4 linked regions of the Astyanax mexicanus genome follow. The protein of the gene in region 2 interacts with the protein of the main gene of each other region in a pairwise test. Links are inferred from orthologs where the notes say so. Each region holds a gene or a part of one and is shown on either strand. Other genes may lie near its edges.

Region 1 (8,153 bases), on a different chromosome or scaffold from region 2:
TTCATGGTGGAGCTGTTTGGGTCGACCGTACCGAAGAACTTCTGGATCAGCCCGGTCAGCTCCGGGTGCGCGTGAAGACCTTCGCCGAATGCCATGGCGACGCTCTCGAAGGTCACGTCGTCGTGCGTCGGCCCGATGCCTCCGGACGTGATGAGGTGGGTGACGGACGGGGAGAGCCGGGCCACTTCCTCAGCGATGACCTCCCTGACGTCCGGCACCACGGTGATCCTCTGCACGGACACGCCCAGCTTCCTCAGGCCTCGGCACAGGAAGGCACTGTTGGTGTCCATGGTGTGACCCTGATGCAAAAATTGCAGACATATATTATTATGACCCAAAAACATAAGCCCTATATATAAGGAACGAACATGTACGTGTTTCTCTAAGAAAATTACAGGCTGAATTATCTACTGTTTTTCTCTGAAATCTGGTAATTTTAGTCCCTTCCGGACGCACATCACTAAGTTTCGTCTCCTCGCGTTTAATAAAATTACACTGTGGGTAATTACAGATCTCCACGGAGATCCATGTAAAAACACTACAGCGAGTGGAAATGGAGGAGCTACTGAACACTATGTCAATGGTCCTCTATCTAACAATAATAATACTCACATTATACTCTTATTGTACATATATACAGCTCTGGAAAAAAAATTAAGAGACCACTTCAGTTTCTGAATCAGTTTCTTGGCATGTTCCATCATCTCCACCAGTCTTACACACTACTTTTGGATAACTTTATGCTGCTTTACTCCTGGTGCAAAAAATTAAGCAGTTAGTTTGGTGGTTTGATGGCTTGTGATCATCCATCTTCCTCTTGATTATATTCCAGAGGTTTTTAATTTGGTAAAATCAAAGAAAGAGCTGTATATGGACATAACAATGATAATTTGTCTTGACCTCAATATTGCTCATTGTGTTTACTTAAACAGAAGAGCCCTGGAGGGAATGTGAAAGGTCAGAATGAATTTCACAAATTCAAGTGTACAAATCCTGACCTTAATCCTGTTAAAAATGTAGTGGAAAGTGCTGGAGCGGCAGTTCATGGCAGAAAACCCACTTTTTTTCCTTTAGTACTTGATTGATAGTTTTTGGTCGAATTGATAAAAAAAAAAAAGATTTATTATTTTAAAGGTTTCACAAATTTCAAGCTCCACTCTACACAATTTATACATATTACATAGTAGTACACCACTGCAGTACAGTCATGATTCCCTGTAGGAAATGATAAATCACTGATGACACAGCCTACTGGTGTCTGCCTCCTCCTCACCTTGAGGATCTCATCGCCGATGATGAGGATAGCGGCCGTGACGCCGCCTCCGTCCTCCGCTGCTGAGGAGCCACCGTTTCGGGCCATGCTGGTGATGTGAGCTCCCACACGCCGAATCCTCCCCACTGCTCTGTTCAGCCGAGGCAAAGCCTGGAGCATTCAGCCCGGGAGCGAGGGGCTCAGGAGGGGCTGAGGGACACGGAGAGGATCTAAGGGGGACGGGAGAACATGACTAGTTACTGTTACTTTAATGTCCTGCACTGAAAAGATGAAGAAGTGCAGCCGGGATCTTCAGTTTCTGGTCTGAGTCCAGCACTGATATCTACACACTCACAAACACACCAGTTTAAAGGAGAACTCTGGTGTAAAATGGGCTTTTGTTGTAGTAAAACATGATAAAAAGTTCTTATCTTTGATGAATAGCACACCTCCGTTCTCCCACAGCGTTCTGAGATCCAGATATTTTAACAGTTTCTCCAAACACCCTTCAGACTTGGTGACACGGGGCACAATTTACCCTGATAAATCACTTTTTACACCGTTATCCAGCTCAAAGTAGCTCCACACCTCCTTAGTAGAAACTGGAGAGCCCTAACATTTAAAACGAATCCTATTTTTTTTTATCATGTTTTACTACACCAAAAAAGTCCACCTTACACCAGAGTTTTCTGATATTTTAACTAAATATTTGGATATTTGATGAAAATAATCCCAAGTTCTGAGTAAAACTAAGCTAAGTACACTGCCTGACCATAAACAAGGTCACCACCTGAATTGCCCAAGGGGAGCGTGGTCCACCTGAAGTTTTTTAAAGGGAAAATAAACTTTTAGTTTTTAGCTGTTTTCACCCTCTAAAACTGGTTATTGGGACCCAAAAGTCAGTCACAGAAACGTTCTGGGTGGGTCGCAGACAACTTGTAAAAAAGAAATACATTAACAAATTATATAATAATAAAATAAAAATAATTATTGCTCTGATTTTCTACTCGTCTTTTGTATGGAGAAGTAAAATATATCTCATTTTGTGGCCTTATTTATTTTGTGCAGTTTTGATATTAAATTTTATTGTAGTGACTTTTAGGGTCTTAGATTCACTTCGAATGCATGAGTATGTTTAAATAAGTTTTTGAAGGCGATTTGTAAAAAATAAATTTGTTTGGTTTGTATTCTATAAGAGTGGGTCTCCGGCTAAGACCAGATGACAACTGATGCAGGGAGTAGCTTCTCATTTGTTTAAAACTACAATGTGAGAAGACACCATAATCCTGATTTCTTGGAAAAATGTTAATCTGTTTTAGAAGGGTAAAATTATCTGCTGAAACTACCAAAAACAGAAAGAAGTTAAAAAGTGAGGGAAACATTATCTTTAAAGAAGGAATAAGATGAAAAAAACAACTATGTTCCAATTTGACAGACAAGTCTGTCATTTATCTCAATAAAATACATGTTTACAGTTAGTAATTGTGTAGTAGTGTGGTAGTAATGTGACAAAATGAATAAAAAAGGTCAAGGTGTATGAATACTTTTGCAAGCCACTGTATAGATTCTTGTCTTACCTTCTTAGCTGGTATTTAAAGCCCAGTGAGTGCTGTTGGGTCCAACTGCAACTGTTATTCCGATACAAATCAGTATAATAATCAGAATTAAGTTGTTTACAATTATAATAAATGCTATAATAATAAATATATAATGCTATATATAATAAATGAGCTAGCTGAATTAACCTAGCTTTACTTTACAGGTTTACCACTTTAACCAGCTCTTATTGAACACAGTTCTCTAATTTAAGGATCTGAATGCTTTCTCTGACTCTGAGAAAAATAACATGAGCATTTTAACTTATTTACAGCGTTAAAATATCAGATTAATGTTGCCTGAATTCTCTTAACTGAAGGAATATCGCTGAAGTTCGTCCTCCGCTCAGTCACCCAGCAAAACAAACCACCGGCTGAAGTTCGAGTGAGGTAACATGACTGACACACACGCTACCCAATCAGAATCAGACACGGCCGGACGCGGCGTGACGTTTACATTTAATACACCAATCAGATTAAAGAAGGGGGGGCATACTAGAACCAAAGCGGAAGTGCAGTCCCATATGCAGCCTCGAAGCCTTCACGTGTTTTCTGGGGATGTTCCATTTCCCTTCCTGCTCCCTTCCTCCCTCGCGCTGCTCACTAGACACTTTTACCAGCATAGGCTAAAACTAGCAGCCTGTTACTAATCCTCAGTATAGTTAATAAAGTAAATAAAAAGGTTGTGTTCAGATAAATGAATATTAATGAATATCTTACTGTTTTTTCTTAATTGTTCGTTATTAAATTCTTAAGTCTTATTGTTAATTTATATTTTTATTGTATTGTACTATTTCTATATGGGTTCTATTTGGGTTATGCTGATTTTTTTATGTTGATGTAATGCAACTTATAATGTCCTGAAAATGCTGTATTATATTATTATAGTAGATATTATAGTAATATAGTAGATATTATTATGCTAATAATATTAATAAGACATATATTATTGTTATTCTAAACAATAAAATGTATTATTACTATTATTCCTATAAACAAATGTATGATTACTCAATGTATTCTTTTTGTTACTTTTTAATAAAGAAGTAAAAAGGAAAAGCTAAGAAAATCACATAGATTGGCTAATAATATGAACAACACATGTATTGTTGTTATTCTAAACAATAAAATGTATTATTATTATTATTATTAAATAAATTGACAAAACAACAAAAGAAAAATAAAGAAACGTTGGCTAATATTACTAACAAGAAATTAAAGATTTTTTAATTAGGAAAAAGCTAAGAAATTTGTAAAGATTAGCTGCTAAAATTAATAACAAATGTATTATTGCAAATAACAATAAGAGCCACAACAGTATCCAGTATAAGAATGGACAAAAAAATAAATGTACAAAATGAAATAAAAAAAGACCCAACACTGAATTTAGTGTTTCTCTTTTTTCTTTCTTACTTCTTCTTACTTTCCCATCCACTCCTTTATTTTATCTTCCCTTACTTTTCCTTCTTTTCTTTTTTCTGATCTTTTTTTTATTATTTAAATAATTTTATTTATTATTATTATTATTATTATTATTATTATTATTATTATTATTATTATTATTATTATTATTATTAATCTCTGTAAAACAAGAATTCCAATATGATATCTCTCGTTGCATCATTATTATTATTATTATTATTTATTTTTTTGTTATAAAATACTTTAATAATATGTTTATTAGAACTATTTTTACTTCTAAATCCTGCAATACTCGATACTGGAGAAGATCGCAGATCCGCGTGACGCGAGGCGGAAGAGCGAGGAAAGGAGGAGGAGAGTGGAAGAGAGTGAAAGAGGGAGGGAGGGAGAGAGGGAGTGAAAAAAGAGAAAATAGAGAAGAGAGGAAAGTTTTCTCCGCCGTTTCCCGAAAGAAGTAGAGAGAGAGAGCAGGCTGGAGAGAGTGAGCTGAGGAGTGAGAGAGTGATTTAGAGGAAGTTTGAGGTTTATTTTTATTATTATTATTATTTTAATAGAGAAACAGAGAGAAGAGGAGGACAGAGAGGACCGGAGGGGCCGAGAGGAATAGGTGAGTCTGTGTCTGAAGTTGAGTTAACTCCGCTGGGAGGTGGGTTCGGGGTTGTTTCAGTGGTTGAAGGTTTGGAAATGCTGAAAATGAAAGTGTTGAGTAACTTTTAGGGCTTGTTTTAGAAGTTAGCTCGAGTTTGAGAGCTTCAAGTTGCGAATTCGTCCGTTCCACCTTAAATAGAGCAGCAGTTCCATTCGTGCGCCTGAGGCATTTAAGGTGGAACGGACAAGTTGATGAAGCAGCTAACTTTTTAAGCCTCGTGTTTGGTTGTAAATAGAGTCAGGCCACTTGTTATATAGATTAACACGTTTTAAAAGAAATTGCGTTTATTTTATTAACTGTTTCCAACTATAACTAACGCTGTGAATATTTTTTTCCTCACATAAGATAGTTAGCTAGCTAGCTAGCTACAGTTTAAACCTGGTAGCTAACTTAACTTACCTGTGTAAAAACTATCTATGCTAACAGGCTAACTAACTAAACCTTAGTCTTCTGGTTGGAGGTAGAGGTGGGTGATTTTGGTAAAAATATTATCGAAATATCACGATATTTAGCTAAAAATCTTTTTACGATACACAGTATTTTTCGTTAAAAAAACTATTTCATACAAACTAACTTCATTTTTGGTCAAATTAATCAGAACTAACTAATGGGATCTAATTATATATCTCGTACTCATTATAAATCTCTATAATGGTAAGTTATATAAAGTAAAAAGTTGGTTTGTGTTTATTATCTGCTAAGGATACATTTACGTTACATTTATGGCATTTATCTGACACTCTTATCCAGAGCGGCAAACAAGGTTAGTCCTTGTAGTCATTTTAAAACTAATTACATTTAATTTATTTAATATTTACAACTATAACTAACGCTATGAGGTATTTTTTTTCCTCACATAAGCTAGCTAGTTAGCTAGCTAGCTAACTACATTTTGAACCTGGTGGCTAACTTGCCTGTGTAAAAACTATCTGAGCTAACAAGCTAACTAACCAAGCAATAGTCTTCTGGTGGGCGATTTGGTAAAAATATTATCGAAATATTGCGATATTTAACTAAAAACCTTTTTACGATACACAGTTTTTATCATTAGAAAAACTATCCCATACATACGAACTACATTTGTGGTCAAATGAATCAGAACTAACTAATGGGATCCAGTTATATATCATGTATCCTAATGTGTTATATCCTATTATAAATCTCTATAGTGGAATATAAAATAAGAAGTTGGTCTGTGTTCATTGGATACATTGGATGTAGTGCTGGGCGGTATGACCAAAAATGTATTTCAAGGTATATTTCAAGATTCTGACAGTTTCACGGTATATCAGGCTATTTATTATTTTATTTTTTTTACATGACTTGGCTTTAATCTAGGTTTAGTAGTACATATAATATAAAACACTAAGGATTTAAATTGGGTTTACTTTGTCCCACAAAATATATACACAATATATGAAAAAATCTGACTTCATTAGCAGAAAAGAGCTTTTAAAACAATTTTAACGCTGCTTCCTTTTCGAAACAAGCTAAATAACTCCACAAACACTATAAATTAACCTAAAATACTCAGTTTAAGTATTCAAAGAGATATTTCTCTAAAGCTCTATTGCACAAGTAAGACACAAGTTTAATATCAATTTAAAATGTTATTATCAAACACATTAGAATCATTACAATATTAAAATCAGCCATAATTTTATAAGGGCTATAGTTGCTGCTCTTGAAGCATTTTTGCACCTCATATCCTGAGTTTACGGAGTTTTATCACTTGTGCTGAATAAAACGACGCTGCGCTCAGGACCGATTCTGGTCTCATCTATTCATGTTCATGTCGTGCTCCAGTCACTGCAGTATGTTAGCTTGTTATGTTAACTGGCTAGCGTTATCTAGCGAGCTGTATGCTTCTTTGCATACCAGTTTGAAATTCCCCACTGTATGAACCAGTATACCGGCCAGCGCTACTTGGATGTGATCACTTTTTTTGCAGATATTAAACTTTTTTTTTTTTTTTTTTTACTTAATTTTTTGTAGTCTGAGCTCATAATAAATGTAAATCCTAAATAATAAATGGAAACCTGATGCAATAAAATATTGTCATATAGCCCACCTCTAGCTTCTCGTTATGTCACTTATTCCCTTATTGTTAGTAAGCATGGTTCCACAACTAGGTTAATGTGATTTTTTTTATGCTCTTCTTATTTTCTCAGCTAGACTCTTCTAGAATTTTGTAACTTTTAAACCCTGGCATGTCATTTAATACACAATTTCTTTGTAAATCAGTGTCATCTCAGAGCTCAGAGGAGAGGCAGTCCTTCACCAGCATGAGCTCACCATGACCAGCTGTTGTTTTGAGCATCTGTTCAGGAACTTAAACCCCCATGCTGTCGGTGCTGACACTATTCCCACCATTTAATCACTATTAGGAGCTTTGTTGGAGGTTAAAATGTCTACTTGGCTTGTTTGCGTAGTGTGGTGTAATTTGTTGCGACTTTTTTTCCCCCCAGCTATCCAAGTATCATCCCAAAGCTTACTGCCAGACATCCCAAACTGACAGTCGTCAGTCTTATATTTAAAATTATGAAATATTTGTACTTATATCATGGTTTATTTTCAAGTGAGTGGCGCAGTTTTAAAACTCTGCAATAACACAGCCACTTTTGAAGCTCCACAGTTGACTGACATGGCAAAACAGCAACCACAGTTATTTTCTTCAGGGGCTTTCACACTTTAGCCTTAGCAAGACCAATTCAGGTAGTCAGGAGCGTTTAATTAACAAGCGTGTGATCAATAAAACAGTGCTCAAATCACAAACAATTAGGGTTAGGGTTATTGATTAATCCTGGAACCGCTGATGTCCTGCTGACTGGGTTGTCCAAGGCCCACATTTTTAGGTGAAGAACCATGTTTAATTCCATAAAGAACCAAGCTTGTATTGAAGATGTGTGTAAATATGTTTTTGAAAGTATGGTATGATTCCACATAGAAGATAGCATATTTTTATACTTATTTATACTCCTGAAAGTTTCTCCACTAATTTGTTTTATTGTAGTCTTAACTTTTTTTATTTTATTTTTTTACAATTAGACCTAAATATATAAATTAAATTAAATAATGAAAATAATCAGGGTCAGATTGATTTTAAATTGTAATATTTTAATTCAAATTATCTTTATAGAATTTATTTAACAGTCCTGGGTTTCTTACTATTGGGCGTGTTGCCCAATAGTAGCACATTTTCATTGCTCTCAATCCAAAACTTGCTGCTTGTTTC
Region 2 (7,960 bases):
TCAGCAGTTATACGTCTTTGGAGCTCTTTTGGAACTAAAATGGTTCTGCTCATATTGGCTAAGATTACTATCCTGGTTTCCAAAACATCAACATCAGGAACTGACTGTTCCTGACACTCGCTTACTAATTTGTAGATCCCACCACTTGACCGCTGCCACTGGAACCAGATCAACAGCGTTATTCCCTTTACCTTCCCTGTTACGGCTGATCGGTGTAAATTTCTCACAGGCTGTTCATCACAGACATCTGCCAGAGTTTCAAGGGCAAACTGTGCAATTATCATACTGGCCTCAGTACCTTATGTCCTTGATGCTTGCCATACTCCTTGCAGACGCAGCACATAAGCGGGCCTGGCTGGCAGCCGTCCTCCAAGCAGACAAACTCGATGGCGTGCACCTGGTGCTGAGGGCACAGGGTCTTCTCGTGAGGCTTATCTGCCAGAGGAACGCGGCGGTGCTTGGCCAGTGTGCGGGTGGAGTGTGTGAGCTGGGAGCACTCGGCGCATAAATGGGTGGCGCACACCGTGCAGTACATTGAGGCAGTGTGGCTTTCGTCCTCATCACAGCGTATGATGCACTGCAGGGCAACAAGATGGAAGTATGTTAATGTAAACATACTAAGACACTGATTTTTGGGTTTTCATTGGCTGTAAACCATAATCATCAACAATAAAATAAAGAAACACTTAAAATAGATCAGTTTGTGTGTAAAACTTCTATATAATTTAGTTATGTATTTGAGTTTCACATTTTGAACTGAATTACTGAAATGAAGTAACTTTTAAATTAAATTTAACTACATTTTTTAAAATGAACTATATGTATATGTATAGAAACATATGATCCCAACCTCTCCCATCTCTCGCAGTGCGTCCTCCGACATCCCTGACTGGTTTGAGGCACCGTTCTGAAGCCGTTCAAGAAGTTCTAGCAGTGCAAAGTTCTTCTTCAGGCCCCAGACACCCGAGTCCCCTGAACGCGAAAAAAAGGAAACAGGTTTTGTTTTGCATTAAAAATACTATTTATCTTATTGCCCTAGTATAGTTATCCTACTAAGCTTTAAAATTAACCAATTTTACCTGAAATGGTTAACTTAATGAGCATCTAAACATTGGCAATGATAATCAACCACTCTATTAATATTTTATCCTGCATTAAATGCTGATATCAGTCTGAAATCAATCAGTCAATGCTACCAACGGTCAAACAAAGCAAATCATATCTAAAAATGCATAACAGCAGTTTAAACTCACCCAGCTCAGTGGCCTGCCTGTCAAATGGACACCGCACAGCCCTGCCATGGAGAGGCAGGCGGGTCAGGCAGTCATGGCAAACAGTGTGACCGCACAGCAGTAGCCGAGGCACCTTGTCTCCTTGCAGTGAAAATACGTCTTCACAGACTCCACACTCCAAAACCTGAGGAGCAGCAAGTATTCACAAGTCAAACTACATTTATGTACATATTTTACTATATGTTTTCATGGGATAACACACACAGCCATTAATAGCTGAAGTGAAAATGATTATTATGATCTTGTTCTTAGGCTTTAAGTTATTATTATTATTTTTACATAATGTCACCTTTTCTAGTCATTTCACCACAAATTTAAATTTAAATAAATTTCACCCCTTCCCTCAGAAGAGGTTAAAAGAAGAGTTTGATACCACTTTACATACTGTTTACCTAAATAACCAACTACAGCTCTGGAAAAAAAAGAGACCACTTCAGTTTCTAAATCAGTTTCTTTGTTTTTGCTGTTTATGGGTATATGTTAAGTGAAATGAACATTGTTGTTTATTCTATAAATTATGGACAACATTTCTCCCAAATTCTTCCAAATAAAATATTGTCATTTAGAGCATTTATTGGCAGAAAATGAGAACCTCAAAGAATGCAAAGAAAACGAGTTCATATTCATCAAGTTTAAAAGTTCAAAAATCAATATTTGGTGGAATAACCATGGTTTAATCACAGTTTTCATGCATCTTGGCATGTTCTCCTCCACCAGTCTTACACACTGCTTTTGGATAACTTTTTGCCACTACTGGTGCAAAAAGTCAAGCAGTTTAGCTTGGTTTGATGGCTTGTGATCATACATCTTCCTCTTTATTATATTCCAGAGGTTTTCAATTAGGTAAAATTAAATTTATAATTTTAAGTGGTACTTAATATTATTTTTCAATATACTCTATTTAAATCGTTTTAGGACACATAGTTGCTGTAAAAAACAATAGATAAGTCATTATACCCAAGTCATTATATAAAAGGTCATGTAAAAATGAATAGCACCGAAATATTACCACATATTATTATTTATGCTGGAACACATTTTAACAAGCTAACCTAGTTAACTAATTAACATCCTTTTTGAGGGCACCAATTGTTTGTTTGCGGCTTCTAGTTAACCTACACAGATAGGTAGTGTTAGCTCAGAAAGCTAGCTAGCTTGATATTAGCTGGCATTTTGCAATAACTACCAATTTTTCAGAGACTGTACCCTGTTAATTACGCGTAAATTACATTTGTGCAGCTATATATTGCACTGTTTCACAGAATTTCAGGGGATAAAACGTAGTGTTGTGATATTTTACTGGGTTTAGCTTAGCTAATCTAGGTATCTGCTAGACATTGGGGAATCCATTCCACTTGTTAGCAAAAATCCAGGCCAGGATTTCAATCCAACCGCCTCGTTGGCACTGCTGCAGCCGCGTTCAGAAGAGTAGCCCATACAGTTGGAGCAAAATCCTGGGGTGGATTATGGTTTTCTGGCCCTGAATTATCCATTTTTTTGCAACCACGAATGCAGAAACAAAAAAAATACAAAAATACACAAAAACACTCTCCCTAAATCACTGCACTTTAGTTTAAATCTAACATAAACTTCTGTACCTTCACCGTATTGCCTGTTGTGGCCCTTACGTGCCGGACACAAGGCTCCATCGGTGCTGCGGCTCCTTGCTTATTTACAGCGGCGGCCATCCTCGGACGCGACCATCCATGACAAAACCGGGGTGGTCGAGTCAGAGGACGAGCAAATAACAGCAGAAACAATAAACTCAATAAAATATGCTTACAACGTGTTAAATAGTATATTAATATTTTACATGGTAAAATAATTGCGCAAACAATGTTGTAAGGTTTGAAATTGTCTATAAAACCGGTGCTACAGCCGGCGTTTAAACCCCTATTTAAGCAATGGACGAATCCACAGTAAGGTTTCAGCTGTTTCCATAGGTTTTATTGTAGCTGCGGCTTAAAAATTACACTTTTTTGTAATTCTGATGATTTATACACAGTATATGCACTATTAATAGTGTTTTGTTTAAAAAAAAAAACAATTTATATAAGTTAATGCTCTTTCATGGAACATATGTGAAGCTAGGATGCTGGGACTGGTCACTTTTCTGATTTTACTATTTATAGGTATATATTGAGTAAAATGAATGAATTGTTGTTTTAATCTATAAACTGCCGACAACGTTTCTCCCAAATTCCAAATAAAAATATGGTTATTAAGAGCATTTATTTGCAGAAAATGAAAGTCAAAATAAAATAAAGATAAACGTAATGAAAAGGATGCAGTGTTTCAGAAATAGAACAAGTTCATATTTATTTAGAAACAACAATACTGATGTTTCAACTCAAGAAGAGTTCAGAAATCAATATTTGGTGGAATAACACGAATTATTAATTATGGCTTTCATGTGTCTTGTCATGCTCTTCACCAGTGTTTCACATTGTTTTGGGTGACCTTATGACAAATATATGCACGTTTATTTAGTATTCTCGTGGTATTATGATACATTATTTCTATTTGTCTAATAGTGATATGTGCACATTTGTAAATAGGTCGTCTCTTTTATATATTCTTTAACTTTTTTCGATATATTTTTTTAGATAATATATATTTTATAGACATTATTTTGCATGTTTCTCTTCATTATGTCAATACAAACTTTTAACATAAGCATATGTAAAATGTATGTCCAGAGGCAACAAAGATCAACAAATGTTAAGGGGTTTAGTCCCCATGTTTAGTAATATATTTATATACTCACCAAACTTAAAAAACAAGGAATAATGTTTGATCATAAAAAAACTTATCACTAATGGATTTCTCAGAGGTAAATACAAGTAAAAGAAAATAAAAATCCTCAGAATTTGTAATAGTTCAGAACAAAACTTTCTGCTGTATATACATTGCCAAAACGAAGCCCTCTTACAAAAAAGAGCATGTTAATTTCAATATCAAACTTTCAATATCAAAGATTCAGGGGGGTATTTTTATGTATTAATTTCAGTTCAATTTCTCTCACGTTTTTGGAAAGTAAATATTCTAAAGTTAAAGACCACAATTTTCTCCACGGTATACACTTTACAATACTACTCAAATATGATATTACATAAGAAATTGTAGCAATGTCTTTCTGAAATTATCGCTAGATAAAAACATCCTGTGCTGCTTTAATGTAAAACGCGTTTTGTCCCTATCTGCGCTCCGTCGTCAGCTGATGCAGGGGAAACGTCAGTCCGGTTTACTATCAAACAAAATGGATGTGAATCAGGCAAAACAGGAGCATCTTTTGGCTCTAAAAGGTACAGATTCCGCTCTCTGTCTGCTCCATTATCTCACCGACTGCATCTTAAGGCTCATCTCCAGCTGCTGCTTTAAAATTCGCAGCACCGGTCTGCTCAGAACCACAGCTTTAGTGTGGAAAGCGCTGAGAGTCCGGCCTGGTTTTCTAACTGCCCGGTCCACCTTAAATCTGCAGTATTTGTATTCGGGTCAGAGCAGGGTCTTGCATGCACCAGTGTGTAACCTCTGGACTATTTAAGGTGGATTGGAGAATTTGTACAAGAAGCTAACGCCTAATTGTGATGTCAGCAGGGAAGTTTTTAAACACAACTGTAGATACTGTATAGTAATACTGTATAGTACAATAATATGAAGCATATTCATGAGTATTAAAGTCTGAATAAGGTGGCGTTTACTGTGTTTTTAAGGAAACAATAGAGAAAAGCTTTTTAAGAGGGATGTGTTGTATATCGATACTTTTAAATGTGCTTTTCATTGAGAATAGTTTCATTTAGGCACTTTAAGAAGCAAATGACCTGTTTTTATTTATGTTTTAATTTTACTTATCATTTTTACTTATATTTACTTAAAACAATTAATACAAATATGTACTGTAAATGGCCATTACATTAAACCCATATGTTTACACGTTCTGTCCATTGTATCAGCTCTACTGGCCAAATCGGTCCACTTTGTTCACCTCCATTCGTTCACCCTGTTGTTTACTAGTAAGGAACCCACAGGACCACCACAGAACAGCTCGTATAGGGCTGATGTATGAGTGGATCAAACACTGGAGTTTTTAAACACAGTGTTTTGAACACTCACTGTCCTCCATTGTATTAGACACTCCTACAGTGTCAAGATTCTCCACCTTGTAGATAAAGTTAAGTCAGAGACAGAAGCTCTGTTGATTATCTTCTAGTCCTTTGTCAGTTCTTAGAGGACACTGCCCACATATTGTAGTTTACAAACTACAGCAGCACTGCTGCTGTGTCTGATCCATTTGTATCACCACCATATATCAGTGTAACTGCAGTGTGGGGTCCTGACAGTACAGGGTAAAAGAAGGATAGTAATTAAAGTATGCAGAGAAACATATTTACTACAGTCTGTTATAATAGAGCTACAGTGCTCCTATATGAATATACCTTACAAAGTCAACATCAGTACATAGGTGCTCATTATTACTATTAATATGTGCATTTTTCTTTTTACTAGTGATGCGACTGACAAAACCGACACTGTTCACTAATATGCCTGTGACGTGTGAAGACAGAGACCTTCCAGGTAAACAAAAGAAACAACAATAACTCTATTGTTTGGTTCATTTAAACTATTTTATTGTCCTCACACTTTTCCATTAGAATTAAAGTGTTCTCTTAAAATCCCTTGCATTAAAGAGCCAGGGACTTTAATGCTAATATAGGCACAACTGAGGCAGATTAGCTAACCCTTGAATTAATTAATAAATTAATAAAGTTGCACCCATTAGTGACACAAATGTGCAAATGCACAAACACAGCTTGTCTAGTCTGTGTTGTGAAGGATTACCAATAGAATAGGACTCTCTGAAGCAGATAAAAATGATCTTATTGGCACCTAGCATTAAGCTGTGGAGCAATTCTGGCCTTCCCTTAACAGTAGAGACAATTACTCCAACAAAAGCAGGTCAATATTGTGTAATATAATATATATAATATACACTCAGGTGAGATTAATATTATTAATGAAACAAAATAATGAAGACAATGAAGACAAGCAGAAGGAGCCACTATCTCCACAAATTAAGATTTCATTAAGTGATTTCATAACAGTTAGGAGGTCTGACATATTTATCTTTTTATATTTGACACCCACTCTTAACTACTTTTATTGCCTGTTAGCGAAATTGGAATGAAATCTGTGGCATGACTGTAGCCCAGAATATAACCTGCAGACCCAACAAGAATTTATAATGTTTGTTTTCCCTCTTGCCACAGTCCAGCACCTCCGAAACACAATATTCAGCCATTAACGGCACCGCTCCAGAGCCATATGTCATCACGACACTTCTTCGTAGGCCCTATATTTATATGAGGGGGCAAAATGAGAGTGGAGCATATTCCACTATTAATCAAGATGAATGAGGAGAACCTGAGAGCAGAAAGATAAAGTGAATGGAGTGGTGTAGATGCCAGCCTTGTCTCATTCTCTGCCTTCTCCTGTTTTCTTTAATTTAGTCATTGCAGACTTCTGCTAAACGTATACTGTAACCTGTAAAAGTCGTAATTTGTCCAGGCCTTGCCTTTGACTTGGTATCAGATGACTCTGCCATACTATACAGTTTAACTATGTCAGCCTGCCACTCGCTGGGCACAGCTCCGCAGGGTTGGCCGCTGATCAGACATGAAATTCTCTGAATGTAAGAGCTGTATCTTTTCCACTGCTATAAATCAGGCTCAGGTTCTGGCCTTCTTAGGTCACAGTTCTGAATCATAAATCAGATAAAGATTTGGACTCTGTTGTGAGTGTATTGCTGTGACTCCAGATCATATTTAACTTAACCTCCATTTGTCTTCAGGTGATCTGTTCAGTCGACTCATGAGGGAAGATCCATCTACTATTAAAGGGGCGGAGACTTTGATGCTCGGGGAGATGCTGACACTACCACAGAATTTTGGGTAAAAGGTTTTACCGTTTATTGTTTTAGACATTATATTAAAGTGAAGATGATTGGTTTATTGCTCAAAAGTGAAATGTACAACTTCTTTTTAAATTTGAACATTTGAACACTAAAATGTTTATTTTTTCTGTCTATAATTTTGATTACCGTATTTTTCGCACTATAAGGCCCCCGGACTATAAGGTGCACTATCAATAAACGTCTGTTTTCTGGTCTATTTTCATACCTAAGGTGGACCGGATTATAAGGGGCACATTATGCAACACTAGTAAGGAACAGGAGTGTCACCATGTTTTCCTTCTAATACAGCAGGCATTTTATTCTCACAAAAATGCTTAAAACTCTAGAAAATCCTCAATGGCTTATAGGGACAAAAACAGATGAACCTTCTTAATAAATCTCCTGATTTACCGTGAGTGAGCAGGTTTCCCAATATTTTGTCCAAATGGTGTACACAATCCCTCGCCGCAATAATTATTATGAATAAAAAGAAACACATGTCCTGATGATTTGCAGGACACATTGTTACATGAAATGTGTTTACAAACCTTTTTTGTGCATTACAATATTATCATTTGTATTTGCACAAAACGCATTAAATGTCTAGCTAGTGTCAACATAACATCATAGCCTTGGTTGAATTAAGTAGATTTAACCAATATAATATTATATTTTAGAATCTTATATTCAAATTGTAGCATTACATTGTTCAAATTGT
Region 3 (7,312 bases), on a different chromosome or scaffold from region 2:
CACTGACCACGTGTCTGAGGTGGGGCAGTAGCGCAGAACGTTGGTGTTCCTGTCTGCAAGAATAAAGAAAGGATATTTTTTTTTAATTCAAACTTGAATTGAAATATATTTGTATTTTTAAGTTTCATATAATAACTACATGATTTCATAATAATATTTTTATACTATTAATAATAATATTATTTATACTGGCAAAAATGTATATGAATTGTATTATAAATCATTTGTCTATTAACACAAGGTATGAATCCTATTTACTTTACTGCAGACAGTATGAGCCCAATATATTTCACATCTGTTCAATTTAATTTCATTACTAATATATACATCTATTCCTGCATTTTAGGCCTGCATCACATTCCAGGCATATTAGGACTTGTGGTAAATGAAACAAATAAATGAATTCAGATTATCATGATTTGAAACAAAAGCGGCATCATGTTTCTCAATAAAATATAGGAGAACAAGAACCAGCAGTCAATAATACATAATAGAAGGGCAAGGAATAACCATCATTACAACAATAATTACAACAGAGAGTTGCATTCATAAACAGCATTTTACTGTGCAAAACAGAACATTTATGGTAACCATATCCAGAGGTAGAGTCAAATTCTTTGGAATCAACTGAATCTTGTATGAACTATCACACAGCGAAAACATACTAAATGATTGTGCACACATTAACTTGAGTCAATGCATGCGTTTTAACATGATGTTGGCCCACCCTTTACAGCTTTAGTACCCTAATCTTTGTTGGGAAAGCTTGTTTTCCTGTTTTTAAATATGTGACACGCAGTATTCAACATTGCTGATGACTAACATTGCTGATGACTAAGTGACTAATCCAAGCAACTCAGCACAAAACATCAACAGGACTGCACCATTCCAGAAAAGTTCTTTCCCAAAGTTCTTCTCAAACCACTATACTTTGATTTGCAGTGACTCATTGATATCGCAAAGCAAGCTCCTGTTTATGTGAGCAGCCTCTTTCTAGAAAGACCGTGTACGCACCTCTGGCTGTGTAGCCTCCCATGACGTAGATCATTCCTTGGCATTCGCAGGCAGAGAACTCAGCCAGAGGGTCAGGCATGGAGGAAACACAGTTCCACCAATCCTGCTCAGGACTGTAGCACTCCACTGTACCTAAACAATGTCCGCCCACTGCATACAGCTTCCCACTCACAGCCACCAGCTTAAAGTTTGCCCTAAATACAAACATAACACTGGTCAAGAAGAAGAGCCCTTTTTGAACAGAGAAATTTCAATAATTAACAAAATTGCATGATTAAGATGGTTTGGAATGGTTTGTTTGTTCAAGAGCACGGGTGTCCAATCTTATACACAAAGTGATGGTGCAGCAGCAGGTTTTTTAATCCAGCGAAATAGAATCACATTTTATTAGTATTTAAAAACTGATTAATTGATAAAAATTGGAATCCTGGTTTATGCTACCCAGTGATGGTCCACACTGGCATCTGTTAGGTGATCAGAGTATCTGCACTTTCCTGCAGTGGTTGGCTACACATGTGTCTGATGAGGTGAGTGCTTGTCCTCATTCTCCTAGTGTTGGGGGAATTACTAGTGACAAGGGGAGTCCTAATGAGTGAATGTGTTGTTTAATTTGCCTTCTAAATTGGGGAGAAAAATAATAATATATAATATAATACTATAATAATAATAGAATGAAAACCTGCAGTCGAACCTACCCCTTGCAGATAGAATTGGAGACCCCTGTTCTACAGAATCGCAGAAGCTTATCCACAAAAACTGATTACTCGAAATGGTCATGAATACACTGACCCTGTCTAAAACAGATTTCACCACTGGAAAGAAATATGATTTCTCTACAGTAAACCATGTCACTGTATAGACTTTTTATCCAGTACTTTCTCCTTTGTGCCTGACAGAACGATGCAGATACCTTTTTTGGTTCAGGGGTGCTATATGCTGCCATTCGTTTTTGCAGGGATTGTAGCAGTGGGCGGCAGAGATCTCCTGACTCGTCATTCTGTAGCCGCCGACGATGAACAGGTAGTTGTCCAGCACCGCGGACCCGTAGCCTCGGACGTTGACCATGTCTGGGGGCAGGTTGTTAGCGAGCGGCTTCCAGCGCTGCTCCACCTCCCCGTACCTCAGCATGGACCACGGCTCGTCCTGGTCGGCGAGGTCCAGGCAGGTGCCCATGAAGTCTCCTATGGCCACCAGCGTGGCAGTGCCCCTCATGCGCATTTGCCTGACCTGCTCCCTCAGCGAGGCGGGCAGGAGCTGGAACTCGGGTCTGCGCAGCATGGGGTGAAAGTGGCAGCACATGAACTTCAGGCAGGCTGTCCGCAGGTCGTGGGTCCCGTAGACCTCGGAGAGCTTGAAGAGTTCCACACAGTTCTCCAGACGGATCTCGGACAGGAGCAGCTTCAGGATGGGCGTCACCTGGAGGAAGGAGGCTGTCTCGATCAGGTCCTCCAGGGTCTCGTTGGCGACCTGCACTTTGGAGGTGTTGATGAACTCCAGGACCAGCTCCAGGCCGGGCCCGCTCAGGCCCTGCAGCTGCACCGAGTCCTCCCCGGACTCCCTCATCCCGGAGCTGTACAGCGCGCGGAAGTAGTCGCTCTTCTCGATCAGCTTGCTCTTACTCACGTTGTACGTCCTGTCGTCCATCACGATCTCGATGATCTGCTCTGCAGCGGACATGGTCACGGTGTTTGTGGCATGTGACGAAGGCAAAGGGCACTTGTTGGTGGGCGAGATCAGGTTTACATCTCCAGCAGCTTTTCCTGGTGCTCCTGCTTCTACTGCTGAGTCCCGTCTCTTCTGAAGCCGAGCTATATAACTATATATGGAAATGTTTGGGCCCGGAGCTTAAGGGCTGACTCTGCTTCCAGACTCGACTCGTGTTCGCTAGCTGCTGACTAAGTTGTGGACTAAGAGGGAGAAATAATAAGACGGGCGAGTGTGAAATCCTGTGGTTGTGCTCCATATCGGCTCGGGCAGAGCTGAACACAGAGCGCTGAACACAGAGCTAACGCTCGTTACCGTTAGCATTATTATTATCTTCTCCTTTAATCAGCTCCAGACAGAGAGCAGCCCTGCACCAGAGACCTGCTCCCCTCCACTGCCTGTGAGCGCCCCTCCTGTGAACACATGTCGAGAGATAATGTTAATATTACACAGTGAAAACTATACAGCTAGCTAACCCAGCGTGTTTACCTCCTCATACCTTTTAGCCAGTCCATTTAAACCAGTTCCTGTTTTGGTCTCGGGATGTTCCTACGTCACACTCAGTCTGTGTCTCAAACCCATAAACAACACTGCTCACTCGTTGCTTTGCTGCCTACGCTGCCTCACTGTGTTTTTAGAAGGCAATGTAGTGATTAAAGGGTCTCTGTATCTGATTCAAAAGGGAAATGTGTATTGGCGTTACCTCGGTATGGAGAGTTCAGCACTAGCAGTGAGTGCTTATTTGTGTTTTCTTCATTGGTTATTAGCTAGTGGCGGTTCTAGACCATTTTTAACAGTGGTTATGTTAGAGGAGCAGCTTATAGTGCTCTGCATGCATTATGAAAAAAAAAGTCTGCATTCAATATCATTCAACATTTCATACATTTATACAGTTTTTAGTTACAAATTCACAATTTCTATAATCTTATATTTCTCACTTTACAATGTTATTGTCTAAGTAGTAGTAGGTAGCATGTACTTGGTTTTGGACACAGCCAGCTGCTCTCCTGCCGTTTTTGCGCATTTCTTTTTTTAGTCGATATTTGAAACCTGATATCCAACTTACACACTAGCACGATTTCTAGAACGTTTAATTTGATTAATTTTGTATAAAATAAAAATGCTTTAACATGTACAACAAAATATCAAGCTGCTCATTTTAACAAGTATAAGCACATTGTGCGTTTAAAGCGCGCATGATTGATACGGAAGAAACACTAAATGTTAATGTTGGTTCAGCAGGATAACTCTCTCGGGTGGAACCTTTTAGGGGTTGAACAGTTTTCTGTGTTAATTTCTGCAGTAAATATCTCCGCTCTCTCGGCTGATTTATACGGTTATTAATGTGTATCGAGGCCTTGTGTTTAGGTATTATTATAGGTTACTGTATTTAGCCGAAGCGCGTCTCTGCTGTAACTCTGAGCCGCGAGCCGGTCAGGATGTTTCCCCGGTGTGGAGTAGGGCTGTATTTTGTGAGCGGACCCTGAAAGCGTTTCAAAATCAGAAGAGAAACAGCTTCACTTCAGCAGCTCGAGGGAAACTGGTAACTTAGTTTATCAGGAGAAGGGAGGTGATCAGAGCTCCAGCGCCGCGCTGTGTGTGTGTCGGGATGGGGGAGAAGCCTCTGAGAGTGTGAGAGAGAGTTCACTGTGTTCACTACTGTATTTACACTAGTCCGAGTCAGTCCACAGCTGAGAACACGCGCTGCTGTTTCTGTTCTTATGAACGTTTATTGTTGATTTCACAGCGCAATTCACTTTAATATGTTCTTTATTTAAAGTATTTTTTAATTGTGCACCTTAGCTTTAGTTCGAGTTAATTGATTTTTATTACAGGGTTTTAAAGAATAGCGTTAGCTAGCTAGCGTTTACGTTACATACCATTTCAAAATAAAAGTCAGCCTAGTTTAAAATGGTAATTATATGTCGTTTTTTCTTCTTTTTTTATAATTTCGTTTTTGATAAATGTAGTCAGTATAAAATCCAGTGCTGAGATATGAAAATAATAAAAATGCAAATAATAGAAATTAAGTTATAATATACTTTTTTTTTACAAGATTAATCCACTATAGTTTGTACTCAAGTCTAGCTTTCATTAAAGAAAAAAAATCTAATAAAGACGTTACTTTTTTGTGATATATTACACCCTTGTTTGATGTTCATAAAGTTGTCTCGAATTATAGTAATTTTATAGGTGTTTTTCTTTTTCTTAAATAATATATTTTGCTCTTCTCTAATTTTGGTTTGTGTTTCTTTAGGCTTGCCTGTGGAGACGTCGAAGGCAAAATCACTGCTTTGTTTAACCGAGTAAACACAATCCAAAAAAAGAGCGGGCAGTTTGATGTAAGTCTGTTTTGGACAGTGTCTGGTTAAATAAGGAAGTTGATGCACCTATTACAGTCTCTCTTTTATTTTAATTTGTATTTCTTTAACAGTTATTATTATGCGTTGGTGAATTCTTTGGTACCTCTCCAGAGGCTGAAACAGAATGGGAGGCGTACAAGTCTGGAGCTAAAAAAGGTATTTTACTCATTGTCTGTTGAACCTGAATTTACATAACTGAAATCAGCCTTCAGTTCTTTTATTAAAAATGGAGAAATGTTTTGCTTCAGCTCCCATCCACACATACGTTCTGGGGGCTGCAAGTCAGGAGACTGTGAAGTATTTCTCCAGCTCTGATGGTTGTGAATTGGCTGAAAATATCATCTACTTGGGTAAGAGGCTTGTCTTATTTTTATTTACGTTTGTTTCTTATTTGTTTTATATATATATATATATATATATATGTATATATGTATGTATATGTAGAGAGAGAGAGAGAGAGAGAAAGAAAGAAAGAAAGTCGTGCAGACTGTTTGTTGACTCCTGTACATCATGTTTTGAATTTTAGGGCGCAGAGGAATTTTCACAGGAGCTTCAGGTCTTCAGATTGCATATGTGAGTGGCAGAGAGGCTCAACATGAGCCTGCACCTGCTCACTGCTTTACTGCAAAGGATCTCATAGCTCTGGTCACTCCCCTGGTGTCCAACTCGAAGTTTAAAGGAGTTGACATTCTCCTGACCTCTCAGTGGCCTAGAGGAGTGTGGCAGTTTGGCAACAATCCTGTAAGTACTTTGTAGTAGAAAAAGTTGATAAAGTTATTAGTGGGCAATGTTTATAGACCTGTCTAAATTTTATACTTATTGTTGTTCTTTTAGGAAATTGACACAAAGTTCTGTGGAGTTTCCTCCATTGCAAATCTTGCAGAAAAGCTGAAACCTCGCTACCACTTTGCTGCACTGGAAGGTGTTCACTATGAACGACTGCCATACAGGTTAGCTACACTTTCAACCTTTTCTGAAAATTTTAATGTGTGACAAAATGACTGTTTTAAATGTCAAAACTAGAACTTGTATCATGATATTTAACATTATTAAGATTACAACTTTATGTAATCTTGTCATTTTTGTTTGTATGTTCTATTTGTACTTTTTTGTTAAACAGAAACCATTTGGTTCTTCAAGAAAATGCACAGCATGTCAGTCGATTCATTGCACTGGCGACAGTTAACAATTCTGCTAAGAAAAAGGTAGAACATTTTCCCTTTGCCCACATACTGTGAATGAAGATTGAGTTACGGGATGATATGACTGAAATTTTTTTTGTTTTGTGGCTGTTTCTCTTAGTACTTGTATGCTTTTAACATTGTCCCGATGAAAAATATGGATGCTGCAGAATTAGTCAAACAGCCTCAGGATGTGACAGAGACCCCTTACAGGAAATCTCTAAAAGAAGGCAAGATGGAAAAGCCTCCTCCATCTGTACTCGATGAGGTTTGTATATGTTACTGTTGGATATTTTTTAAATTTCAAGCTAGCACAGTTTTGAATTAACTTTTAGGTGGCAGTCATTTTTTAATTATATCCTGAAGAATTTCCTGCCAAAGACATGATGAATACACCTAGGTATGGAGTAACTGACAGTCTCTGTAAGCCTTAAATATAACAATTTTTAATTTGTCTGTTATAATAATAACAATAACAATAATAATATTAAGTATGGTGGTACTGTAAGGCTTGTTGGTAACATTTTACTGTCATTATTTTAATTTTGTTTATAATTATTTACTGTTCTTTTCTGGAGTATGTCTCGTTGAATGTATAATGTTTGCATTTAATATAAAAAGCCAATAGAAATATTTGAATAAAACTAAATTACCATCACTTAAAATCTAAAATAAAATAAAAATAAATAGAATGAACTCTTAAAACATTACAGAGTTGTTTCCCAGACAGGGATTAAGCCTAGTATTGGACTACACTGAGTTTTAAATAAAGATTTCCTATTGAAAGGGAATGCCATTGGGCATTTTTTGCTTTTTTGCTTTTGTTCATGTACATTTGTTCTGCATCTTGTTTTAAAGTATCACTGCCTGTGTGGATTAAAGACTGTGGGTAAACTTCTCTGTTGTGCAGGAGGAGCCTGCTTCTCAGTTCTTCTTTGATCTGGGCCAGAAGAAGCAGCAGCACCACCGGCACCAGCACAACCAGGGTGGAGGCCGGAAGCGGCATTCAGAGGACGACAGATCTGGTCAACCTAGGCAGCACCGCAAACC
Region 4 (7,477 bases), on a different chromosome or scaffold from region 2:
ACAAAGGACGGCATGGCTGATTTTACTATTGTGATTGTGACTTTTTCATGTACAATGTGCTATTCATCATTTTAAGCTCAATACCTCCTTTTTAGCATGCTTTTTTATTACTCATTTATTTAACGTCATTTTAGTCATCAGTTTCTCTTTGTTAATCTGTTATTACATACTTTTTTGCTTGTTGTAATACTATAACTAAAAAGTGCAAAGCACTTAAGAGGTTTGTGTGGAAATGGCTTCAGTCTTCATTACTGTAAAGTTACTGTTTTGGCTGTGTAATTGGTATGTGTACTAATTTGGCCCCTACAGTTAGTTGCAGTAAAATGGAAAGCCCTGTTATTTCTAGAGTAGCAGTGGTTCAGTTTCTAGATGATTAACTCCTGGACCGAGAGTCATAGTTCAGTGGAGTTTGCAGAAAGGAGAGGTGTGTTGTAAATGTGTGTGCAGCATTTTCTTGTAGCGTTTAAAGTCGAATAATAGAAATATAATGAGGCAAGACTTGCAGCTCTTTTCCTTTGCATGTAACACAAATATCCAATCTTCCACAGGGGAGTTGTACTGACTTCAGATAACTTTTGAGGCTCGATCTTATGGTTTGATTGAGTTCGTCAGGACTGAAACTGAAGTAATGAAGCCTAAAGCTGAATTGGGACTGTTCACAAATGTAATGCAAAGCTGTCCCTCAAACGGTAAAGCAAAAGAAAAGAAATCATTCGTCATTTCATGGAATCCACAAAAGCAATGCTGCTCAATTAAATTATGTTTACCAGGGGAAGCTAAAACGGTATCAAAGGAGCCTGTTTGTATCTGGATATGGCCAAGCCACATAAAAATACAAGTGCAAACGCACCCAAGCTCCATCTGTCACGTCACTTTAGCAGGTGATCTGAGACACATTTGGTATTACACAGGTATTATAGCAGTGTAAACACATCAATATCTCCAAATTGCAACAGACAGCGAAAACTCCTCCCCATATTCATGATAAACAACTGGTTGCTGTGCAAAACAGAAGCCATATTTCAGAAACACATTTAACTCCCATTTAAAACTACAATTAAGGCATTACGTACAAGGTCATTCCTATTTCAGAGGAGGATCAATATAGTGTTAGGAGTCTAGCCCAAGGACTCTTTTTGGTGTAGCAAAGCATTTAGTCACCCAGAACTGGAATTGAACCCCAGTCTTCCACATGATGTGATGTGGTGTCTTACTGGCAGGTAGTGGTGTTATCCACTGCACCACACCAACCACCTACCAAGTGTAAGTGCATGTGTTTTAAAATCCAATCAAGATAAAATCCAGATATATGTGGAACATGTCACCAGGTGTAAACAAGATCCATGATTTTTGTTCTTAGTTTTTTTTTTTTTATACTAGCTTCATAGCCTTGATTTGTTTGTAATGTTGAAACTTGATTTTAGGTTAAATACACCTATGAGTACCTGTTTACACCTGGTCACTTCATGTAACCAGTATCTGGATTGGATTCTAATGTGATTTAATCTACATTCATTTATACATGGTAGTCAAACATGTCTCTGGTTAATCAGACTGCAGTGTGGGATGGTTTAGGCAGTTATAACTGGTGTCTACTTGGAGAGACTGATGTGTTTACACTGCCATAATGTGGATCAAATGCTCATATGAATCTCATATCACCCCTTCAAGTGGTCTGAGTGAATGGATTCGTATCTGTTTTTAAAAAAATCCTGGGTGTGTTCACACTTGCATGTTTAGGTGGCTTAAACTTATCCAGATATAATCCTAATACTCAATATGCATGAATTGACCACAGGGTCTTTTACACATAAGTTAACATGTTAACTTTTAGTAAAATTCTGCAAGAAAGTATGAAAGTTTATGCTTTTGATGTTGACTCTTGGTCCAAACAGACAGTTAAGAAGCAGGCAGTTCTGCTAACAGGATCTATGTCTGATGTAGGTCTTTATCATAGTCACTCACATATATATTCATAAATACGTACATGCATATTTCACTGTGAATGCTTTTTTTGGCCAGCGCGATCGTGCTTTACCGTGTGGTCAGTGCTCCTAAAACAGTTAAATCAGTAGTAATGAAGTACTGATAGTGATGCTTGTTTGCAGGTTATCTTAAGAAGTGTAAACAGGAAATGGAACTGTACCCTCAGCACCTTGGTCTGCTCTAGGTCTGCTATAGTGAGTGCCCATTCATCACTGTTTGCTTTAATGTTTTGTTGTTGTTGTTGTTTTTTTTTTATCATAGTCATATGATGTATTTCTACTGATTAACATGTTCCAGCTCTGTAAATATCCATTTTTAGTCACTCGGCACGGTCAGACGGTAGGATGTCTCGATGTTGTCTTGCTCTGTTTCCCGTTTGCCTCCATTTATTTGTTTAAATGTAGTTTTCTGCCGGCTGATTTCAGCAGGAGTGGTGTGGTACCTTTTGTAGTAAAACGGTAATGCATCTAAAATGGAATTAGTGTGTAGTGTCATGACAGATTCTGGTGGGGGAGTGTTAAAATTTTGTGTACATAATTGGTGTAATTTTGTTATAGCGACACGGAAAGGTTTGTTGCATTTGAATCTTTCTAAACATACCTTGTACAAAGATTACCTTAATGTTTTGGGAAATGTGAGAGTTTAACAGCAAGCTGTTTAGACCTTTTTATTTGTATAGGGTAAATATGTTATTTTTTGGTTGATGTTTTATGACATTGGTAAGGTGATAATGAAGTTAATGTATTCTATAGTTTTTCCAGTTTATTATTGTTCATTATCTGCTTTACCCCTCACTGATATAAACTGTTGAGATATTTTAGTTTTTTTAATATTCATTCTAGAGGGGTTGAATATGTTCTTATTAAATCTGAATTCAGATTGGCTAGTATGACAAAAATAACAATAACAAGTGTAAACGTTTCTTTTTTGTGTAATTGGCCTCACCAAAATGTCTGACTTTGATCAAGCGAGCAATGTTAACATGACATAAAAATATATTTATGAAGTAGAAAACTAAAACCCAAAAAATATATGTTTGGTCATTCGAGTCAATCTGAGAATAAGGTGTGCTTCTCTTCTGCCCTTTAAGACCAATTAAACCCTATTGAATTTTAGTTTTTGGCTTCTCTATCATCACATCTATTTTCACGTGTTTTTGTTTGATCTATGTATGTTTTCCATTTTGGAGTGTTTTCTTGTGTGTTCAGTTTGTCTTGAGAAATAATTCATGTTTCTTCACACAGTTCCTCTCAGGGTTTATTTTGTATCTCAAATATCATTTTGATGGAATACGTAAAAACATCAACAGTTGTGTCGCCACTTCAAAAGCACGCATATACAAACAAATCCACTGCATATTAAAATTGAGACATTGTCCTAGCCAGCTATTGTCTACACTATTGGGTTGATAATTTGAAAGGGTTGAACAGATTTTTTCAAACAAGCTCAATTAAAGATATTTTTTAACATATTGTATTGTTTTGCATTTGTTATTTATTATTTTGTATATGTCTGTAATATTAAATCTGTCAAAGGGTAATATAAGGTCTCAGTCAATTCTCAAAGGTGATGTGCTGGAATCGTGAAAAATCGGCAAATGTAGAAATTACATTTTATAAAAAAAACCAAACAGATGACTGAAGAACCAGTCAAGTCTTCTGTGTGTTCTCAGTTAGGCAAGTGGATTTAATGTTATGGTTGATGAACTTATGAACTACAGGCATGTTAGAAGGTGTGATTTCTCGATAAAGGAACATCATATAGTTATTTCATTCCAACAAAACATTTGCTTATACCCACATTTATAGATTTCATAATATGTTTTATGGAACTTTTAATCACAATTGAATACATTTGAGATTTAACATCATATTGAGCCAATCAAACATTTATTTATACTTATACATAGGTTTTAAACCATCCTTTATGTCAGTGTTTTTGTTCATCTCATGCAAAAGCTGATTAAGTCAGTTTTCCATTTATGATTAATACTACAATATTCAAAAATGATCTAAGATGAATAGTATTTTTTATCTGTAAAAATAACCCATCCCACTGCTTGAAAGGGCAGAATCTCAAATATCTCCCTATTCCCTACGTAGTGCCCTACCTAGTACTTGTACTAAAATACTAAAAAAATACTGTGTCCAAAAAGTGCTGTGCAAAATATCTGACTGTTTGAGAGTCAGTCGTTTTAGAATGTATTATTACCTAATTTCTTTAACATTTATTAATATTTAAGCATGAAAGAACTAAGTATAACAACGTTCTCACAAAACTAGTGCACTAGTAGGCAGTAGGGAGCATGGTGGTATTTGAGACAGACCCCGCCAGTACTTTGGCGGTTATTTTCCCACAAACAGAACAAAAGTCACGTGGTTTAAAGGCGCATCTTGGTTTCCATAGAAGTGCTTTTCGAGCTCGCTGATTGGTGGAGGACAGGTTTGCGTCAGCCAATGGAGATGGGAGCTTTTTACAAATTACTGTGGAGCCCGGAAAACAACACGCTGGAGTGGAGCTCTGCTAAAATATAGCAGATTTAGGGGTTTTACTGCTGAAAAACCTCCAGCCCGGAGAACCAGGCCGCTCCAGCCCGGATTCAGTGAGTATTTACGGGTTTAAATACGCCTGGGTTTATCGGGTAAACTGGCTGAATATATAATGAATATAGTGAATATATAGGCCAGCGTTAGTTCATTTCATTATCTAACGTTGCAGATCTATAGTGAGCCTGTTTATGGCAAACCGGTGTTCTGATGAGTTGTGCTTCCCTGTCAAACAGTGCTACCCTGCTGTTTATTTATATAAACATAAAAATACCAGAAAAGGCACTACATTTAAAAATGCCTGAATCAGTATATCAGTTAAGTAAATAAGGCTGATAAGAGCCATTGTTTGTATTTTATATGGTCTAATTATTTATTTTACTATTTACAATTTCCATTTACACGTTTGTAACACCCAGACAAATAATAGCTGGGTGCCCCGGCTGTTTAATGCACCAAAGTAGATCAGAATTACCATAAAAACGCATGAAAACATTAAGAAGTTGGTCCGCGCATGCGCACTACTGATAAAACTTTCATATCGATGGGTAGCAGCAGAGAACAGCACAGATTATACTGCTAAACACTCTAATTCAGCATCTCTGAATTAACCAGTTAACGTTTAAAATGTTCACTAGTTCACGTTAATTTTGGGGTTTTATCCCCTATTTAATAGGCTGCTATTCTGATTCAATAGAAGCCTTTTCTACCCATCCATCACACCACACTCTGCTAACCTGTTTAATATAATGTTTCATATAATTTTTATACTGAAACTTGTAGCTACTTATTCCTTACAGAACCATAAAAATGTTTCAGCACTTTTTTAAGTTTTAAAACTTATATATAAGTTATAAAACTTTTAGACTAAAATAAAATTAAAGTATTATTCTGGTCAAGTGATTGAATACTATTTTTAGCTGTTTAGCTTTATACACCTGCATTCAATGAACTAGTCATTCCGTTCAGTGCTATGTTCAGATCTATAAATGTATAAAAAATATAATCAGAAAAAATGTTTAATCAGACAGAGCTTCAATGGTTATATCTAAACATCTATAAATTGATACAATAAAAAAAATAAAATAAAATATAAATCAGACAAAGAGTTATAATGTTTATACCTATACATCTATAAAAATATAATCAGTATGGTAAATATCTACTTGGTGGGCGTAGTTTTGTTTGTCATTATAATACGTAGTTATTATAAATCTTTATAATAAAAAATATATATATATATTAAAATTATATATATAAAATTATATATCTTGATTTAGATTGTACCGCCATAAGCTGATTAAAGTGCTTTCTTTTTTTTCTTTTTTTTAACAGTCGCTCAAAACCCATCAGTCTCCAAATGGCATCCTCAGCAGCTCCCCTCTGCCCTCAGAATCAAAACCAGAGGGATAATCCAGGGTAAATGGACTTGTTTTCATGACTTACTGATCTTTAACATACAGTTCTGCACAGAAGTATTTGAGTAAACAACATTCTAACAGTGGTATGTAAAGTCTGGTAGTTGATCTTTATTTAAATACTTTTTTTTCTCTATGCAAACAGGCTGCTGAAGCACCAAAAAGCAAATAAGCTTTCAGAGAATTTAAGGACACAATCCCACATTACCCAGTCGTCCAAAAGAGGATCTGAGAACCAGGACCCGAATGAAACTGCTAAAACCACAAAAGGAGCAAATAAACTAAAGACCATCAGCAGGCTTCCAGTCCTGGCAAAATCCATACAGCCAGTTCTTACAGACATCCCTCAAAGTCCCGGCCTTAAGAGATGGGAGGAGAGGCCACTGCTGGTAGATCAACATTTTATATTTTTCATATTGATCTCAAAAAATATACAGGGTCCTATTGTACACCCTGCCCAAAGCGCCTCACAGTGCTCTTTGCTGTCTTACACCCTGTGAACAGTCTATTTTCACACCTATATTGTGAGATAAATTTAGGTCGTATCATCCAGACCTAACGGCAAGCCTACTGATTATTTTATAACTATGTGAATCAGGTGGTTATAATCATTATAATCATGTCTGACTGATTTACTTTGTCAGGGAAAGGCACAGAAGAGGAAAACCTGTACCAAACCTGTTCCATTCAACTTGTCCCAGTCTCGGAGCCACAGCCAGAAGCTCACTGAAGCTGCTCCTGAAAGGGCAGGAAGTTCTGGACTACCCCTAACGACTCGTCCGACACCCAGCAAGACCCTGACCACCTCTCAGCACAGAACAAACCCCCCCACTCACAATCCCCTTTCATCTTTGAGGAATACACATGTTCATCACACAAACACTTCAAAAACTAAGCCCTTAAACCCTTTAGAGCCTAAGACCAGTCCAAAGCCCAAGCCTAACAGCACACAGTCTGTGCTACAGTGTGTTACTGACTCCTCCATTCAGAGAGACCTGAGCTCACAGCTGCGCAGCATCACACTCGCTCAGTCAGAGCTTACCAAGGACCCGGGTCTTTCTCTCAGAGCTGGTGCTGGTGGGGTGGAGGAGAGAGCAGCTTTCCAATTAAAGACCAAAGGCTGCATTCAGACTGCTTTGTCTGCTAAACCTACCACAGGTATAACAGGTGAGTTCTGTGATGTAATGTAATACTGAAAGTGTATTCAGTGTTTTTCATATTGTTGCGGCCATGCAAAAAATGTTTTTTCTGCATTGTTTTTCCTTTTCAGATTAAGTATGAATCTGGCAGTTGTTCTTTATATTGTGTCTTTACAATTTATTATTTATGGACCAATAGAAACGCTCCAAAATTACTTTTGAGAATTAAAGTTAAATATGAATCTATATTTTAGGTAGTGTTAAAACATTCCCGTGGGACTTATGTAGGTGGAATGTTTGCTATGTATGTTTCTGGTTGGCACATAAGAATTACAGCCCACATTATACTCACATGGCTCCCATCTAGGCCTGTCACAAAAGCACTTTC

What was found.
Region 1: the proteins of trim23 (region 2) and flad1 interact in binary tests that used the Homo sapiens proteins (3 or more experiments, as listed by UniProt). The two-hybrid records come from large-scale screens. The link is inferred for Astyanax mexicanus from reciprocal best matches to the Homo sapiens genes TRIM23 and FLAD1.
Region 3: the proteins of trim23 (region 2) and klhl42 interact in binary tests that used the Homo sapiens proteins (3 or more experiments, as listed by UniProt). The two-hybrid records come from large-scale screens. The link is inferred for Astyanax mexicanus from reciprocal best matches to the Homo sapiens genes TRIM23 and KLHL42.
Region 4: the proteins of trim23 (region 2) and tastin interact in binary tests that used the Homo sapiens proteins (3 or more experiments, as listed by UniProt). The two-hybrid records come from large-scale screens. The link is inferred for Astyanax mexicanus from reciprocal best matches to the Homo sapiens genes TRIM23 and TROAP.

The regions. Positions count from the first base shown.
Region 1 is NC_064413.1:2,344,198-2,352,350, reverse strand, and holds the start of flad1 (FAD synthase), read right to left. Parts: upstream 3,243-8,153; 5' UTR 3,121-3,242; exon of another isoform or gene 2,830-3,120; intron 1,483-2,829; exon of another isoform or gene 1,463-1,482; 5' UTR 1,433-1,462; coding exon 1,274-1,432; intron 300-1,273; coding exon 1-299. UniProt on the Homo sapiens protein: Catalyzes the adenylation of flavin mononucleotide (FMN) to form flavin adenine dinucleotide (FAD) coenzyme.
Region 2 is NC_064427.1:22,848,520-22,856,479, forward strand, and holds the start of trim23 (E3 ubiquitin-protein ligase TRIM23), read right to left. Parts: upstream 3,006-7,960; 5' UTR 2,981-3,005; coding exon 2,891-2,980; intron 1,417-2,890; coding exon 1,254-1,416; intron 973-1,253; coding exon 851-972; intron 578-850; coding exon 299-577; intron 1-298. Other genes in the region: trappc13 (trafficking protein particle complex subunit 13), read left to right, coding at 4,513-4,597, 5,799-5,867, 7,141-7,240.
Region 3 is NC_064409.1:37,370,174-37,377,485, reverse strand, and holds the start of klhl42 (kelch-like protein 42), read right to left. Parts: upstream 3,026-7,312; 5' UTR 2,692-3,025; coding exon 1,925-2,691; intron 1,209-1,924; coding exon 1,015-1,208; intron 54-1,014; coding exon 1-53. Other genes in the region: cwf19l1 (CWF19-like protein 1), read left to right, coding at 4,328-4,350, 4,976-5,060, 5,153-5,237, 5,330-5,431, 5,608-5,822, 5,916-6,031, 6,202-6,286, 6,384-6,530 and 1 more. UniProt on the Homo sapiens protein: Substrate-specific adapter of a BCR (BTB-CUL3-RBX1) E3 ubiquitin-protein ligase complex required for mitotic progression and cytokinesis. The BCR(KLHL42) E3 ubiquitin ligase complex mediates the ubiquitination and subsequent degradation of KATNA1.
Region 4 is NC_064420.1:42,756,812-42,764,288, forward strand, and holds the start of tastin, read left to right. Parts: upstream 1-4,450; 5' UTR 4,451-4,588; intron 4,589-5,867; 5' UTR 5,868-5,892; coding exon 5,893-5,951; intron 5,952-6,095; coding exon 6,096-6,339; intron 6,340-6,594; coding exon 6,595-7,117; intron 7,118-7,477. UniProt on the Homo sapiens protein: Could be involved with bystin and trophinin in a cell adhesion molecule complex that mediates an initial attachment of the blastocyst to uterine epithelial cells at the time of the embryo implantation.